2 linked regions of the Coturnix japonica genome follow. The protein of the gene in region 2 binds, or shares a complex with, the protein of the main gene of each other region. Links are inferred from orthologs where the notes say so. Each region holds a gene or a part of one and is shown on either strand. Other genes may lie near its edges. The genes, in order: RARRES2 and CMKLR1.

Region 1 (3,781 bases), on a different chromosome or scaffold from region 2:
GAGCTCTTCCAGCTGTGCTGTGACCTCGACAGCTCATTGGGCCGCAGCCCCGGCCCCGCTCCACCGCGCACAGCCCAGCCCTGGGTGCAGGCCGGGTTCTGGGAGCCACCGCCGCTGCGCCGCAGCTCCATCGTGGAGGAGGCGTACCGGCAGTTCAGCGAGGCGCTGCGGGAGTGCCGCGAGTTGGGCCGGCGCGCCGACGACACCATTGCGCAGGCTGAGCGGGCGCTGAGCGGGCGCACCGACCCTGGATCCTATGTTTTCTGAGCAGCCCAAAGGCACCGAGGCGGCCGCTCTGCTCCGTGCTGCTCCATCCCCATGTGTGTGGAATGGACCCCTGTGTGTTCCCAGCTCGAGGACTCCACGGGGACCTGGGATGCGGGGAATGGACTCCCGCCCTTGGACCAGCACTGGCAGGTTTTGGAACTGACTGCACTGCAAAGAGGGGTGCGGACCTGGGGGGCTGCGCGTGGGGACTGAGGGAGGTCACGGGGTCCTGCTGCCGGGGAGCAGCTGTGTAGTAAATGTGCTGTCCCTGAGGTCTCTGCTGCTTTGTGCCGGGCCCCTGCGCATCCACATCCCTCCTCCCAAGACCACCAGTGTGCCTGCAGAGCGGAGTGTGGCTCGGGCTGGGGGTGGCACAGCAGGGCGGTGGAGCCCACCCCCATTGCCCCACACACAGTGATCCTGGGTGGGAATGAAGCGGAGAACGAGAGGCAGAGCTGGGGTTTAATAGTGCATGCAGACACTGCCGGGAGCTGGGGGGCAGTGTGGGATGACCTTCCCTTCACTGCACAGTGCTGGGGGGTCAGCAAGCTGGGGGCTGGGGGCCCCAGGTCAGCATCTTCCTCCTGGGATGGGGATGTGGTGGCTGCTGTACTGCGGAGAGGTGTAGGACGGGGGGGTGCTCAGGGCTGGTTGCAGGAGGAGGCTGCTGCCTGCAGCTCCCCATGCTCACCCCAGAGGAACATCCCAGGTGGGCCTTACCGTGCATGGGCACCTAGGCTGGCAGCCCCTTGGAGAAAGCAAACATGCCTGGCAGATAGAGGGCATCACTCGCCTTGCCGGCCTCCTCCACAGCCCGGCACTCAGCCTCATCACGGTGTTTGATCTCCTGCAGGGCAGAGCATGGCTGCTGGTATAGCTGTGGGATGTGCCAGCTCCCAGAGCACTTCTTGGGGCTGAGCCCCCCCCTAGAACAGCTCACCTTCACAACCAGGTGGTGGCTGGGGCCACAGTTATAGTACTTGTCCAGCACCCTGGGGACATCGCTGTTGTCAAACTTGTAGCAGGCCAAGCAGGCTGGCTTCCTCTGTGGAGACAACGTGGCCATCACAAGCAGTCCCAGCACCCGGCCCCCACCACCAGCCCTGGGGATGTCCCCCACGCCCCTGGAGCTGGGCATGGCCATGTCTGATCACCCCCAGCACCAGCAGCTCTGCTGGAGAGGACTGGTGCATGGCAACCAGGGCAGGAGGGAGGGAGAAGGGGTGAGACCACCCTGTCCCTGTGTCTGGGGGTGGGGTGCTGGCTCAGGGGGTGCAGCCCCCACCTCACCTTGCTCTCTATGATCCTGCAGTTCTGTCTCCTCTGTGTCTGCTTCTTGCATGCCGTCTGTGCAAGGTTAAGGCGCAGCTGGACGTACGTCCCCGATGAGTCCACCTGGTGCAGGGGAAATGTCCCATGAGAGGTGTGGGGGGAGGTGGGCTGGGGGCCCCAGAGTGTCAGCAGGACCAGGAGTAGGAATGGAGGGACCCCAGCCCCCAAAAAGTGACCCCAGCCCCAAAAAGTAACTCCAGGCACTGCACTGAGGCTCCCAACCCTCAGTATAAACCCATCCTACAGTGCCCAGCTCCCTGCCAGGGAGGGGACAGGAATGGGATGCTGTGTCCTGCCAGGGGACGGCAGGACACCGGCCACTGTTCAGTCCTGCTCACAGTATGGTTAATGAGTAGCTGAGCCCCGTGCCGTGCCAGCAGGCACCGCCGTGGAGCTCTACATCCCCAGCAGTGACACCACGCCACCCACCGTCCCCCTCATTCGGTGACAGCTCGCCCCTCACCTCACACAATTCCACAGCCCCCCTGGAGCAGGACGGGGGTCCCCATACCCCCCCCGGCACTCACTCTCTCGACGGCCCCTTCTACTGACTGCTCCCTAAAGAGCAGCTGGACGTTGCTGCGGCTGTGGAAGTAGTCCAGCACATCCTTCACCACGCGCCGTTGCAGCGGGCTCTGCCCGGCGTCTGCCAACGCCAGCACGGCCACGGCGATGCCCAGCAGCAGCTTCATCCCCGCCGTGCGGCCCGGCCAGCCTCCTGCCCACCACCGCTTGTTGATTTTGGTCTCTCATTAACCGATTTCCTGGGAACTGCCCCTTTCCGCCCACCGGACGGCCCCGCTCAGCCCCCGCAGAGGAGGGGCTGCGGCTGTGGCCAGAGGCGCGCGGGGATGGATGGCGGCAGCCTTGACCCCATCGTCAGCTCCGTCCCCAGCACATCAAAGCCCGGTGGGGAGAGGTGAAGGGGGGCAAAGACAGAGCAGAGATCTGTCCTAAGGCAGCAGCGCAGCGATGGCTCTGGGGCTGATGGGGGCCTGAGCCCCACGGTGGAGATGGGACTGCAAACAACATCCCCCGCCCTCAGGAACCCCACAAGCAGCAGTGCACAGAGCTGGCACTTTGGGGAGCTTTCTGGGTTCTGCCATTCCAAGCACACAGAATCACAGAATGACCCGGGTTGGAAGGGACCTCAAGGATCATGTAGTTCTGACCCCCCTGCCTGGCAGGGCCACCAAACATACACCTTTACTAGATCAGGTTGCCCAGGGCCCCGTCCAACCTGGCCTTGAACACCTCCAAGGACGGGGCATCCACAACCTCCCTGTGCAGCCTGTTCCAGGGCCTAACCACTCTCCTAGTGAAGAACTTCCCGCTAACATCCAACCTAAATCTTCCCTCTTTTAACTTAAAACCATTTCCCTGTGTCCTGCTATTATCAGCCCTTTCCAAGAGTTTACTCCCCTCCTGGGAGTAAGTTCCCTTCAGGTACTGAAAGGCTGCAATGAGGTCACCCCGCAACCTTCTCTTCTCCAGGCTGAACAAACCCAACTCCCTCAGCCTGTCCTCATAGGGGAGGTGCTCCAGCCCCCTGATCATCTTCCTGTCCCTCCTCTGGACCCTTTCCAAAATCTCCATATCTTTCTTGTACTGAGGGCTCCACACCTGGACACGGTACAACAGATGGGGCCTCACAAGAGCAGAGTAGAGAGGGACGATCACCTCCCTATCCCTGCTGACCACCCCTCTCCTGATGGAGCCCAGGATCCCATTTGCTTTCCGGGCCGCCAGAGCGCACTGCTGGCTCATGTTAAGTTTCTCATCTATCAGGACCCCCAGGTCCTTCTCAGCCGAGCTGCTCTCAAGGACCACTCCTCCCAGCCTGTACAGGTGCCTGGGGTTCTTCCAGCCCAAGTGCAAAACCTTGCACTTTGCCATGTTGAACCTCATTAGGTTCACCTGAGCCCAGCTACCCACGCTTTACAGTTTTTCTCTGCATTTGGCTGCTTTCCTTGGAGTTTTTCTGGCCTGAAAGGGCTGAGTTTGTCTCTGAGCCAGCAGTGCTTCTCTCCAGCAGAATCACAGCACGGCCTGCATTGCACAGGCCCACAGTGCTCATCCATCCCAACCCCGTTATGTGCAGGGTCACAACCACAGCCCAGGCTGCCCAGAGCCACATCCAGCCTGGCCTTGAATGCCTGCAGGGATGGGGCATCACAGTACA
Region 2 (4,257 bases):
GATGGAATCTCTGCGTGCACTGAAGTGCCAGGAGTTACCCAGCTGAGAGGTAAATGCCTCCGGGTTTTGGTGTCCATCGGGTTGTGCCTGGGTCAGAGCAGAGCAATATTTGGGGCTCAGGGAAGGGTTGGCTGCAGCCAGCAGGAATTCTTTGCTTTCCCCATGGGGATTCAGCCAGCTGAGGGTTTTCTCCTCCCTGCTATTACAAAGTGGGTTTGGGGCTTGGGTTGATGATGGTGGTGACCTACAGGGCTGTGTATTAGGACCCTGTGGGTCACCACTACTCTCATTTGCTTGGAGTTTCTTTTGCTTGCCTCCAAAGTTCCCCCATGCCCCAATACAATCATGTCCCTCTGTCCGGCAGCAGCAGGCACATATCAATTTCCTTCTCTTAGTTTCCTTCCTCATTACCCCCTCTAAACTCTGCTGAGAGCGGCTCTGCAGGTGCCACATAAACCTTCCCATGATGTCCCCAACCACACGCTGGCTTTGTCCCCAAGCAGCCATGGTGATACCCTCAGATGGGGTGCAGATCCTCCTGGTTTGCAGTGAGGATGGCTCCCACCATGGGGTGGTTGTGTTTCCAGCCATGCCATGCATCTGGCTTGCTGGCACTGTGCCGTGCAGCTGGCTCCCTACAACGTGCAGGGAATTGGGATACATCCCCAGGAGAGATGCTCATCACACAGCGCTCACTGCAGCTCTCAACCCTTGTCCCATACCCAATAACAGGTGGTGTGGGGCTGGCGATTTTCTCTGTGCTTAACCTGGGGATCAGCATCATGTTTTGAGGTCTGATACTATTTCTGGGCAGAGCGGAGTGTGCAGGCTGTGACCCCCACACTGCTGTGTCCCTGCACTGCTTCTATGGACCGTCCCGTCCCAACCAGACGTGTACAGCGCTGCCCAGAAAAACACTGACTCATGCTGTTATTCTGTCCCACCCTGGGCACAGCCGGCTTTTTAAGGCTGCCTTTTCCAGTTATTCCTTTTTTATCTGCCTGTTCATAACTCAGCCTCTCTCGGGGTCCTGGCATTCAAGCATCGTGGATGCAGGTAGGACTCTCTGCCTCGGTTTCCCCTCTAGGAACAGGCTTTGCCTCCTCCCTCTGCTGATGGGGCTGCAGATTGTGGGGCTGTTCGTAGGGATTTGCAGGTGCCTGGATTTGGGAGGTGGGGGGTGCAGAGGGGTGGCAGCAGCGTGGGGCTCCCCACAAGCTGTTCTTCCCCATGGCATCACCATGCATCCAAGAGGGGGCAACTTTAAGAGGTCAAAAATGCCCTTTTGAAATGCCAGGAAAGTTTTTCTACATACATGTAACCTAAAAATAGGGCTCGGGTGTGCATTTCCCAGCAGGGTCCTCTGGGCATTTAGCAGCAGTGAGATCTGAGCTCTTGTTATGGACATTTTGATGGTGCCCAACTTGCACTCAGGACTGGGAACATCACACTGGGATGTCACTGCTGTGGTAGCTGCAAGCTGAAATAAGTGAGAACTGGAGCTGGTCATCATCCATTCCCATCCCATTCCATTCCCATCCCCTTCCCCTCCGTTCCCACACCCCCATACTGGGCTGGGAGGAAACTTGGGACTTGGGGCTTTGGTGTAGGGCAGCCACAAGGGGACGTAGAATCACTGCTTCACCTCACAGCTTGGGTGAACACGGGAGTCTGGCTCCTGTGGGGTATGAGGATGTCCTGTGCTCAGTGGGGACATGGACACACAAGGAAGGAGATGCTGTTTCCTAAGCATCCCTGTGGCTCAGTGCAGGGATAAGGCAGACCAACGTATTATTTCTTCCTCTGGCTGCACTCCCCTGTTTCCCCACTCACATCCGTCCTCCCAGCTGCGGAAGCCTTTTTTTTTGCCTAGAAAAGCTGCATTTGAAGGTTTTTTGCTGTTCTCTCCGCTTCCTGTTGCCGTCCCAAGAACAACAGCCCTGACCTCATCCTGGCGATGTGCGGGGCCGCCCTGGGCTCAGCCCTATGGGGGTCCCCAGCCGAGCACAGCTGCATGAATCACAGCTTTTTGGATTATTTGGGGCAGTTCCTGCGCTCATTTTTATGGAGGTAGGAGGACAGAGATGAATAGAGAACAGCGCGTAACGTGGTTTTGGCTCATGCTAAGCATTTTGCAGCCCAGAAGGAACACTGAAACATGATGATGTGTGGATTTGGTTTGTTGGTTGTTGTTGTTGCTGCCGTTTTACTTTTTCAGATATGCTTTATGGGATTTTTGCTACAGGGAGGAGAAATGGAGTTGGGGTTTCTCCAAGCCCAGGTTGGTAGGAATGGGGCCAGGTGCCGAGCTTTGCTTCTGGGGAGGTTAAGCCATGCACTAAGGGTGTGCAGGAGCAGGGCCAGCTCATGGCTGTAAATAGTGGCTTGTCCCATGGGCACCTCTCCTGGGGCTCCAGGAGGGGACTGGGATGCACTGTGTATGGGGGGATGCACTAAGCATCCTTTTGGCTTTGAAATCCATGGCATGGATGGAACCCCCACCAGCTGCTTGCTCAGAGATTAGCCCACCTTCCTCAAACCTCTGTGTCCTGATGGGAGTGTCACTGAGGGCAGGAAAGGGCAGAGAGTGGTGGGGCTCCTTGGGAAGGAACTTGAGGAAAAGCCCATGGAGAAACAATAGCTTATTGTGTAAACACATGGGGGCTTGGGAGCGGTGCTGGCAGGAGGATGATGTTCAGCAGTGCACAGCCTGGTTGGGTTTGAGGTGTAGAGCCCCAGAGCTGTTAGCAGGGAGCAGTGGAACGTGCTTAATGGGGGCTCAGAGTGGCTGGCAGAGCCCAGCTTTGGATAATAGCACTTAGTGCTCACAGTTAGCATTTTGCTCAGTGCTTTGGAGAAAGAAAGAGAAAAACTGTAATACTTTGCAGTTTGGAAAATCTCAGAGCTGTTAATAAGCCTAATACTGATTGTTTCCTTGGAATTAAGTAGGCAATAGACCTGTTTTGGGGAGTAAGGCTGCAACCACATTCTGGTGAGCACAACCAAGATGAGCTCAGCAGCTCCCAGAGCTGGTGCTGCTCCTGATCAGGGCATAAACATTCCAGATGAACCCCAGTAGTGGAGCTGGACCTAAGGGATCCCTCAGCATCCCCATGGCCATTCTAGCCATGCCTCTGATCTAACACTGTGTTTGCTTAGCAGGGCATTGCCATCTGGAGAGTCCGGGACTGACCAGGCGCTGGTTTATGCACTAACCATGGCGTTTTCCAATTCATCTGACTACTCTGATGATTCTGATATCTATGACTACTTGGATTACACCTACGAAGAGCCAGGCAGCGTGTGGACAGGCCCTTCCTATGACCCAAAGGACATTGCAAGGATCCTCTCTGTTGTCATCTACAGCGTGTCCTGCGTGCTGGGCATCCTGGGGAATGGCCTTGTCATAGCCATCATCACTCTGAAGATGAAGAAGTCAGTCAATGCCATTTGGTTCCTCAACCTGGCCGTCGCTGACTTCCTCTTCAACATCTTCCTTCCCATAAACATTGCGTACACGGCCATGCGCTACAACTGGATCTTTGGGACCGTCATGTGCAAGCTGAACTCCTTCCTCCTCATCCTCAACATGTACACCAGTGTCTTTCTGCTCACCACCATCAGCTTTGATCGCTACGTGTCGGTGGTTTTCCCCGTCTGGTCTCAAAACCATCGGTCCACCAACCTGGCATGTATGGTTTGCCTGATCATCTGGATGGTTGGTATCATCATGAGCTGCCCTTCTCTTGTCTTCCGAGATACAGCACAAGCCCGCAACTCTATCATTTGTTTCAGCAACTTCTCCCTGTCCAGAAATAGGTCTTACCAAGCACTGGCATTAGTGAGACACCGAACGGTGAACATCACCAGGCTCTTTGCTGGATTCCTCTTGCCCATCTCTATCATCACCTTCTGCTACATCTCCATTGCCTTCAGCCTGCGGCGAAACCGCCTTGCCAAGTCCAAGAAGCCCTTCAAGATCATTGTCACCATCATTGTCACCTTCTTTCTGTGCTGGAGCCCCTACCACCTGCTGAACATCCTGGAAACAGAGCCCGACCTGATCCCACGCTCTGTGTTTGAGATTGGCATCCCCATCACCACGGCACTTGCTGCCTCCAACAGCTGCATGAACCCTGTCCTCTATGTCTTCATGGGCCAGGACTTCAAGAAGTTCAAGGTGACCATCCTTTCCAGGCTGGTGAATGCACTCAGTGAGGAGACTGGCCACTCCAGCATCGTGCACAGAAGCTTCTC

Evidence for each region.
Region 1: the proteins of CMKLR1 (region 2) and RARRES2 are in contact, whole or in part, in a cryo-EM structure (PDB 8ZJG), measured with the Homo sapiens proteins. The link is inferred for Coturnix japonica from reciprocal best matches to the Homo sapiens genes CMKLR1 and RARRES2. Residues at the interface, in NP_001135815.1 of Homo sapiens: Asp20, Tyr21, Leu22, Asp23, Ser24, Ile25, Val26, Val27, Leu28, Phe88, Leu92, His95, Tyr103, His104, Asn116, Leu119, Ile120, Met123, Arg178, Leu183, His184, Gly185, Lys186, Ser188, Cys189, Phe190, Asn191, Trp203, Thr205, His217; in NP_002880.1 of Homo sapiens: Leu34, Phe37, His38, Phe60, Thr75, Ser76, Cys77, Arg96, Leu111, Gly112, Arg113, Leu114, Val115, His116, Cys117, Pro118, Ile119, Thr133, Leu136, Arg137, Gln139, Arg140, His146, Ser147, Phe148, Tyr149, Phe150, Pro151, Gly152, Gln153.

The regions. Positions count from the first base shown.
Region 1 is NC_029517.1:381,802-385,582, reverse strand, and holds RARRES2 (retinoic acid receptor responder protein 2), read right to left. Parts: upstream 2,367-3,781; 5' UTR 2,292-2,366; coding exon 2,127-2,291; intron 1,663-2,126; coding exon 1,558-1,662; intron 1,313-1,557; coding exon 1,208-1,312; intron 1,115-1,207; coding exon 1,001-1,114; 3' UTR 988-1,000; intron 880-987; 3' UTR 710-879; downstream 1-709. UniProt on the Homo sapiens protein: Adipocyte-secreted protein (adipokine) that regulates adipogenesis, metabolism and inflammation through activation of the chemokine-like receptor 1 (CMKLR1). Also acts as a ligand for CMKLR2.
Region 2 is NC_029530.1:5,633,943-5,638,199, reverse strand, and holds the start of CMKLR1 (chemokine-like receptor 1), read left to right. Parts: upstream 1-1,202; 5' UTR 1,203-1,957; coding exon 1,958-2,070; intron 2,071-3,159; exon of another isoform or gene 3,160-3,162; coding exon 3,163-4,257. UniProt on the Homo sapiens protein: Receptor for the chemoattractant adipokine chemerin/RARRES2 and for the omega-3 fatty acid derived molecule resolvin E1.